Cricetulus griseus: one gene and its partner. The protein of the gene in region 1 interacts with the protein of each later gene in a biochemical or structural test. Links are inferred from orthologs where the notes say so. Each region holds a gene or a part of one and is shown on either strand. Other genes may lie near its edges.

Region 1 (4,385 bases):
GAGCGAGGACAGCCACTTGCCTTGCAGCAGGGATTGGACTCAACCCTGGCTCAGCTCTGGCGCCGGGAAGAACTCACCAAATCTCTGCTGATGTCAACCTTTCCCTCAAGGCCCTAGTCGGCCTATATCTTTCACAGTTAGCACCGTCCTGCAAGTCTTAGTCAGAAGTCTTTTCAACCACCCTGCCTTTTGACTTTTCACTCAGGCCCTCTCTCAAAACCACCTCTAACCCCAAATCTCTTCTCACCTCCAATTAACTTCTCACTTCCATGTTAAAGCTCAGTGGAGGAGGGGGTAGCCTACAGAAACAAGTCCCCACCCAGCAGTTCTTTCCCTACCATGCCTCTCCTCCTACAAGGAGGGAGAAGTGGCAAGGTTGGGAGAAGGACCGGGGCTCATACCGCAGTCTCCCCCTTGCTGCTGTGGCTGAGTCTGTGGTAGAAACGACGCCATGACTGCAGGGTCTTGCCAGACCAGATCCAGAAGCCGGTAGTGATGCCCACGATCATGGTCATCAGGTACTTGATCATGAAGACTGTGAAGTCGGGGCTCATGGGCGGGAAGTGACCCGGAGGGCAGGGCACAGCGTAGCTCTTGCAGGTCTGTAGGAGCCAGGTGCGCTCCCAGTGCTCGCGGAAGGCCTGCTCGTAAAAGTAGCAGGCCAGCACGATGGTGGCCGGCACCGTGTAGAGCACGCTGAAGACGCCGATGCGCACCATGAGCTTCTCCAGTTTCTCGGTCTTGGTGCCGTCGTGCTTCATGATGGTGCGAATGCGGAAGAGAGACACAAAGCCGGCCAGGAGGAAGGACGTACCGATGAAGAGGTAGACGAAGAGGGGCGCAAGCACGAAGCCCCGCAGCGCATCCACACTAGACAGGCCCACGTAGCACACTCCACTGAGAAGGTCCCCGTCCACCTGGCCCATGGCCAAGATGGTGATTGTCTTGACTGCCGGCACAGCCCATGCGGCCAGATGAAAGTACTGCGAGTTAGCCTCGATGGCCTCGTGGCCCCACTTCATGCCAGCTGCCAGGAACCAAGTGAGGGACAGAATGACCCACCAGATGGAGCTGGCCATGCCGAAGAAGTAAAGCACCATGAAGAGGATGGTGCAGCCCTCCTTCTTGGTGCCCTGCGCCACCGTGCGGTAGCCATCGTCCGAGAAGCGCTCCACGCACACGGCACGGTCCTCCAGCAGGAAGCCCGCCACGTGCGCCACGGCCACCATGAAGTAGCAGCCCGAGAGGAAGATGATGGGTCGCTCTGGGTAGCTGAAGCGCCGCATGTCCACTAGGTAGGTGAGCACCGTGAAGAGCGTCGAGGCGCAGCACAGCACCGACCACACACCCACCCAGAGGCGGGCGAAACGCCTCTCCTCCTCTTTAAAGTACATAAGGCCGTTAGCACGGCCGGGCTCACACGGGGCACCGCAATCGCGCTCACCTAGGAAGCGGTAGCCCAGGTAGGGGGGCACTTTGAGCTGGCGCGGGCACGAGAAGGGGAAAGACCACCGGCCTCTGCCATCTGAGGGGGGCATGGCAGTGAAAGGCGGGTCTGGCAGGTAGGGAGCAGTAGGGTAGGCGGTGGGACTGCCGCCCGCGCCCCCGGAGCCGTCAGACGTGTTCTGGCCCACGCAGATCTCGCCGGCGCCGTGCACCGGGAAGTTCTCGCAACGCAGCCGCTCAGGCCACTGGAAGCCGAACTTGTTCATGAGAGCCTCGCAGCCTTGGCGGGCGCGCTCGCACAGGGAGCGGCACGGAGGAATGGCTTGGTCGAGCACCGTGCATACGGGCGCGTACATGGAGCATAAAAAGAAGCGCAGCTCGGGAGAACACTGCACCTTCACCAGCGGGTAGAACTGGTGCACCTCGAGGCCGGCGTCCTCTTGGTTCGTGTGGCCCAGCAGGTTGGGCAAGATGGTCTGGTTGTAGGCGATATCCGTGCACAACGGGATGGAGATGGGCTGGCAGAAGCCGTGGTCCGGTACCGAGATGCCCTTCTCGCCGTGGTACGGCTGAGCCCGGGTGCCCGCAGGCAGCGCGCCCAGAAGCGCCAGCAGCAGGGCGCACAGGCCCAGGGGCGAGTGCGACGCCGCAGTGCCGGGGCCCCGCATCGCGGGCCGCGAGTGCAGTGGCGTTCTCAGCTGGGGGAAAAAGACGAGGCGCTGGGGAGCGGCTTGGATGCAGGGAGGCGCCGCCGCGCCCGGCGCATGAGAGTCCTCCCGGCGCCGGGGCCGGGCCGTGGGCGGCGCGGAGCCGAGGGCGCTAGGTGCCTGCACGGCGGGGGCGAGGCCGCCAGTCGAGGGGGCGCCGCAGCCGCCTCCGCGTGGCACTCACGCGGCCGCCGGGGGCTCAAACTCCTGGGCCTGGGCTGGGGGATCGGGGGTGGGGTGTCGCCTTACCCTCCCCGCCGAGACGTAACGGTGCGGCTTTCTCTTGGGCGACGGGCTCCAAGCGTCTCCGGTTACCTTTCAAAGTTTGCCCAAGTCTCTCGAGCCCCGGGCGCACGGCGATGCCCACGTCCCCACACCGGGTAGGGCCTCCGCCAGACCAGAGCCCCGCGTCCCCGCCTGCTCGCCCCGGCCGCCGCCTCGGCGGTGCAGCTCCGCCTTCTCGCCTCGAGGCCCCGCGGGCCGCCGCCTCCTCCTCCTCCTCCTCCGAACCTCGAGCCTCCTTCAGCCCGGGGAAGGTCGGCCCCAAGTTTCAGTCAAACGTCTGGTTCTCAATTTGAGTCCGATCGGTCCCCAGGAGCTAAGAGCTGGGCGAGTTCTTTTTGGAAACCCAGTTGCGCGGAATCCCAAGCGCCGAGGCTCCTGCACCCGCGGCCTGTCTGCTCTCGGCCTCTCCTGCCGGCTCAGTCCCGGCCGGCGAGTCCCCGCGTCCGCCGCCGCCCGCCAGGGAAGGAGCGCAGAGTAACGCCTGGGAGCCGCGCTGGTGGCTAGAAGAAGCGTCGGGCTCGCAGGGTTTCGGGCCGCCCCGCCCCCTCCCCTCCCCCCATTCACAAACCACTCCGGGGGCGGGCCCCGAGCCCTCCGGAGGCCCAATAGCGCGCTTTGTTTTCTCTGTAGACGCCTTCCGATTGGGTGGAAGTCGGAAGGGGCGGCCGAGGGAACGAGGAAGGCGGTGCCTGAAGCGCTCTGGGCGGATTCCTGAGGGGAGGGGCGGGGGACTGGGAGAGAAAAGTTAGGAGAAACTTTTACCCAGAATTTGCTCAGGGGAGAAGAACGCACCAGAAAGGGAATTTGTTTGAAAGATTGGTTCCTCTTCCGGATACCCTAAAACACACATTCCTGAGCAGAAGGGCGCATTCGCCAAAGGCTTCGGCGAGACGCTGAGAATAGCGCAGCGCTTGGGCGGAGAGACGTGACCCAGAGTCACGTTAGCCTGGCTGGCTTGGGCGGGAGGCTTTTGGTTAGCATCAGTGTGGGTCGGGAAGGGGCTGCGACTGAAGATCGCTCTTTTCTCCCCATACCCAAACGACCACATGAAACCACAATCCCCTCTCCCTCCCCCCAGTTACAAAGAAGGGGGCCTCCTGGAAGGAGAAACCCGAGTCGGCCGAGGTGGGGACTTGTGGCGGGAGGAAGTGCAGACCCTCGGAGGAGAGGGCCCAGAGCTGGGGGTGCGCGGGACTCAAGAGCCAGCCACCCCGCCCGCGCGCACTGTGGGGAGCGTAGGGAGCCCGAGAGGTTGGGGGTGGGGTTGGAGGACGCTAAGGCAGTGCTGGGGGAATGCTTATGAAAGCAACCTGAGACCGAGTACCCGGGACTCTCCGTACGATTTACTGAGCGCCTTCGGTTGCCCTGTGTGGCCTTCGGGGGTCCCGTTTTCGTTGCAGAAGCAACCATTTGATCTTTGCATTTGGAATCTACATAGAAAAGTTTTAAAGCGCGTTAGAAACCAGGGCATTTGCTAATTAAAGGGCTTTTGAGACACAAAGAGGGGTTATTTTCCTTCTGGGATAGCGTTTTTCTGATTGGCAAGCGTTCTTTTGTCCTCGGTCAAATCTTAACCCTGCTCCAGGCACTGGGCGCTCGTGCGCCTTGTCTGCCTGTCCCGGACCGGTCGGAAGTTACTAAGGGACCTCTGCTCTCTCAGAGGGGCCAGCAAGGAATATCATGAATATTATGAATTCCCGGGCAGGGAAGTGACAAGTTGAATCTCTCTGTCGTCCCTGAAGTCTTACTTTCAAAAAAACGTCATTCCTGGCTGAGTCCTACTTTCTACCTGTCTCAGTTGGTTGCCGGTATATGAGAGATTTTTGATCAGTTTGAATGTTGAATGTTGGCAGGAGTCATTGCCTCCAGGATACAGTTTCCCCATCTAGGAAAAAGCTGATTCTGAAACCTAAGATAATTGGATTCCCTTTTCTAGCAGACTTGGGC
Region 2 (4,384 bases), about 410 Mb from region 1:
TCATTACAGATGGTTGTGAGCCACCATGTGGTTGCTGGGAATTGAACTCGGGACCTCTGGAAGAGCAGCCACTGCTCTTAACCTCTGAGCCATCTCTCCAGCTCCTGATCAGTAGGATCTTATGTCTGACCCGAGGAACACTCAGAAAACAGCTTGTTTTCCTTCTCCCTTGAGCAGACTCTCTGAAGTCATCTTGCCTAGCTGCTTCGGGTTACTTCTGTAGAGATCCAAGGAAGAGGACCAGATGTTGGCAAAGGGAGTATGGGTTCCCAGGATAGCAGGCCCCTGTTGGGAGTAAGGAATTAAAGGGAAGAACTCTGCTTAGGCTGACTTCAGTGGCCTTTAATATAAATTCAGTGCTAACTTCTAGGTCCTTCAGAACAGTGGTGCGACGGTCTTTCCTTGTGCAGGCGTAGTGTCTGGCGTTGGTCCCAGATCACAATAGGCACCCTTGTCTCCATCACTGGCCAGTATCCTATGCATTACCCCACTCTTTTTTTTTTTCGAGACAGGGTTTATCTGTGGCTTTGGAGGCTGTCCTGTTACTAGCTCTTGTAGACCAGGCTGGTCTCGAACTCACAGAGATCCACCTGCCTCTGCCTCCCGAGTGCTGGGATTAAAGGCGTGCGCCACCAACACCCGGCTACCCCACTCTTATTAATGGCCAACGAAGGGCCTTAGGCCATCCTGGAGTAGGGGAGGCCTTCAGCTTAGCAAGGCAATAAGTGGGTCAAATCTCAGGTTGAGGTGCATCCCGGTCTTCCTTGGCCTGGGGAAGACACCTGGCTATTTTGATTACAACGTCCAAGGCAAAAATCCCTTTGGCTTCAGTCGCAGCCCGGGCCTCGCCTGGACATCTGTGCACACACCTGGACCTGCGTCACTAGTCACTCCTTTGAGTTTCTTCGGGGATCCGATGGGACAAGGCAGTGTGCGTAAGAACTGAGCTCAGGAATAGCGTGAGGCGCAGTAAGGCTCTCGCTGTCTTGGGTTAGACATAGGTATCTTCAAATTCTTGTGGAGCGCCTGAAGCCCCCAGAGTAGCGAGCGCCTTCTGATTGTCAGCACTGTGGGAACTGGGTGGGATAACTGGACAGGCCTAGCCCGACGACGCTCCTCAGCTCTCTGGCAGATAATATTGGCTCACAAGGCACAACCTTTTCTGGGTCTCTGCTATTCTGGGGCCGAGCGTGCCCATTTGCCCACAAACCGCAGACCCAGACGCCGCACGAATTCCTGCCTATCGGGAATCGGGGCGAGCGCATTGTACAGCTTTTGGCTCCTGGCTAGGGGAACTCAAAGCCCCGCCCCACGCTACCGCACGGAGTGACCTAACCAGTTAGGCTTCCCGAACCCGCCGGGTCCCATCCTGGTTGCCCCTCCCGTGCGCAAGCCGTAACCCCACCCCGCCCCGCCCCGCGCGTGCGTGGCCCCGCCCCACCCGCGCTGCGGGCGTCCAGTGACGTCACCGGCTCCGCTGCGCCCTCTGGTGGCCGCGGGCCCAACCCCGCCAGGCTGTCTTGGAACAGCCCGAGGGGGCGGTGGGCGGCAGTAACCCTCTCAGCTGCTTCCCTCGAGCCCGCTCTGGGGCTGGCAGTGGATGGGCGGCCGCGGGCCGCGGGGCAACAGGCGGGGGACGGGTGCGATCCGGGACCGGGCGGGCGGCGCGCAAAGGGGCCGCGGGGCGGCCGGGCGGGGCGCGGGCCGGCGGTTTGGGAGGGCGCCCCGCGTCCGAGAGGTGAGCCGGGCCCTGACGCTGCGCGGGTTCCGCGTCGCTGCTGCCGCGCCATGGCGGAGACCAAGATCATCTACCACATGGACGAGGAGGAGACGCCGTACCTGGTCAAGCTGCCGGTAGCTCCCGAACGCGTCACGCTGGCGGACTTCAAGAACGTGCTCAGCAACCGGCCGGTGCACGCCTACAAATTCTTCTTCAAGTCTATGGACCAGGACTTCGGGTCAGTGGGCCGAGCGGCCTGGGCGGGAGTGCTGGCCCTTTCCCGCGCGTGTGCGGTGCCCGCCGGGCCCCCGTGCGGGCACGAGCTGGCACCTGTCTGTGCGGGGCAGGGCTTTCGGGTCTGGGGACGTCAGAGCGCCCCCGGCGCCGGCAACCCTGCCGCGCCTCTACAGCAGGTGTAAGTAGAGTCTCTGCGCCTTGGTGACCCATGGTGTTTGTACTCACCTGTCTGGCAAGCTGGGAATCCGAGTTCTTGACTACCTACCCTCTTAGGTAGGCCAGAGAGAGAGTTCTGTTTGATGGACAGGTTAGGGCCCAGGCTTTCTGTCCGCCATCCAGTGGTGCCCCTGTGCACAGCTGGTCCAGGCGGGGTGCCAAAGGCCACCCTCAAAGCCACCTCCTCTTGTCTCTGGTCAAGCACAGGTCCTGTTGCATTCCTCTTCTATGGGTGGAAACCATAGAGTGGGTGGCTGCCCTGGAGGGTGTGCATTTTATGGGGGCTGGGGTTAAGGGAAAGGGTTAGGTGTTTGTGACTCCCAGCACTCAGGGATCCTTCAGTTGAAATGGGGTAGTGTGGAATGGGCTGGTCATAGGCACCCATCTGTTTTCTGGAGCTCAGAAAAAGTTTCTGAAGCCTGCAGATTCCTCGTGGTCCCTCTAGAGTCCCAGTGGCAAGGCAGAGGTCAAGGGGCACTGGAGACTAAGAACCTTCACTCAGCCTGCCCCCTTGGTTGCTGGCTCCTGTGCTTCTGTCCTTACTGAACCACACAGCATTTGCATTCCTGGGAGGTGCTCAGGTTATCTTCTGACTTGAGCCAGCTTCTAAGGTAGTGTGTTTCCTAACTGCACTGCTGTACTAGCTGTCTCAGGAGAAGGGACTTCCTACTTGAGCTAAGCTGGGCCTCTGAGACAATGAGCCAGGGACTGGCAGTGCAACAGAGGCCTGACTGGGCATAGCCACAGAAACCTGAGTCCATGGCTTGGCAGTGCTTGAGTCGGGGGCATGCTCAGGCCCTGTGGGTGGAGCAGGTGTGCTTGGTGCCCTTGTGTGGCTGCATCTCAGGACTTTGACATTGAAACTATTTACTGGATTTCATGGTTGCAGGGTCCCTGGGCAGCCCATGGGTCAGGTCAAGTTTGAATCTCTCCCTGACCCTGGGCATCTAGCCAGGGCTCAACCTGGTTTGTACAACTAAACTCTCTCGCTTACCCATTCCCTGTGCCCCAACCACTAGGAAAAAGCAAAGGGGAGCATGTCCCCACAAATTGAAGGCTGGTGCTCCCCATCTGCCTGGAGGCTGGAGATTGGTCTCCCCGACTGTCCTGGCTGGGCCACCTCTGTTGTCTCTGCTCTCAGGAACAGGGCATCTCTGGATTAAATTTATTATTTTAGATAAAAATCACCAGTCAAATTTGTTCTCACAAACTTGGGTGTGGTGATGAGGAGCAGACCCAGACCTGGGTTGCTTTTTGCTAAACATTCTGGGTGTCTCCTGAGGGTACTTGTCCCTCTGCTTTCATATGCACGTTGAGTAGGGTGTGCTAAGAGTAGTAACCCAGCATCAGCTTACATGGGCCCCCACTAAGCTGTGTTTGTGTTCAGGAGGACCTGCAGGTGCCCTGACTAAGGAGGTGGAGTGGCAGATCTGGCTATTGAAGCAGGAGTAGTACCTTTGGGTGGGTTGGGAATGGCTGGGGCATGAGGTATGGAGTTAGCAGAGAGCACAGAGGTGCAAGTTGGGTGTCCTGGGTGTGTGGATGAACCAGGAGACAGAGCAGCTAAGAGGTAGAGTCTGGGCTAGGATGACACAGAAAGGCACAAGCAGCATGTCAGTAGGCCTCACCCCAACTGTGACCTGGTACTCAGATGGCATAGTGGCCTTGGGAGCCTGGAAGAGCAGCCCTTCCTCCCCACATAACTGCATCCCTCACTTCCTTGCCTGTGTTCTGTCTACAGAGCTCCAAGGATACCAGGCTAAGTAGCTTAATATTGGGAGAGGGAAGCTCAGCAGGGTTGGCTAAGCTGGGCAAGTGGCCTCAGAATAGTCTGTGAGGAGTATCCTAGTGAGTCTGGGTTTCCTGCCCCACTCCAGACCAAAGCTGAGACCAAAGCTGGCTACTTTATAAGGAGCAGAGTCTGCCCTGGGCTGGGCTCAATTCCCAACATGTATCTCTCACCAATAAGGTCAAGGTCTGTTGTTCCATGCCCACTTATGTGCAGCTTGTGGCTCTTCTCACCCTGGCTGGACCTCCAATGTTTAGTAGCAGGACTTCTGTGCTTCTGGTGGGCCCTGTGCAAGTGTCTGATGTTTCATCTGGTGACTATGGCAGCAGAGTGAGTACATTTGGCACTTGGTCCCTGCTACTAGTAGTGTATTGCTGCTGCCAGCTTGCCTGATATGATGCTGAGCTCATCTGCTTGATAGT

What was found.
Region 2: the proteins of Fzd7 (region 1) and Dvl1 form a complex in vitro, tested with the Homo sapiens proteins (2 studies listed by BioGRID and IntAct, with this or other methods). The link is inferred for Cricetulus griseus from reciprocal best matches to the Homo sapiens genes FZD7 and DVL1.

The regions. Positions count from the first base shown.
Region 1 is NC_048595.1:413,755,409-413,759,793, reverse strand, and holds the start of Fzd7 (frizzled-7), read right to left. Parts: upstream 2,985-4,385; 5' UTR 2,115-2,984; coding exon 396-2,114; 3' UTR 1-395. UniProt on the Homo sapiens protein: Receptor for Wnt proteins.
Region 2 is NC_048595.1:434,921-439,304, reverse strand, and holds the start of Dvl1 (segment polarity protein dishevelled homolog DVL-1), read left to right. Parts: upstream 1-1,486; 5' UTR 1,487-1,788; coding exon 1,789-1,958; intron 1,959-4,178; coding exon 4,179-4,292; intron 4,293-4,384. UniProt on the Homo sapiens protein: Participates in Wnt signaling by binding to the cytoplasmic C-terminus of frizzled family members and transducing the Wnt signal to down-stream effectors. Plays a role both in canonical and non-canonical Wnt signaling.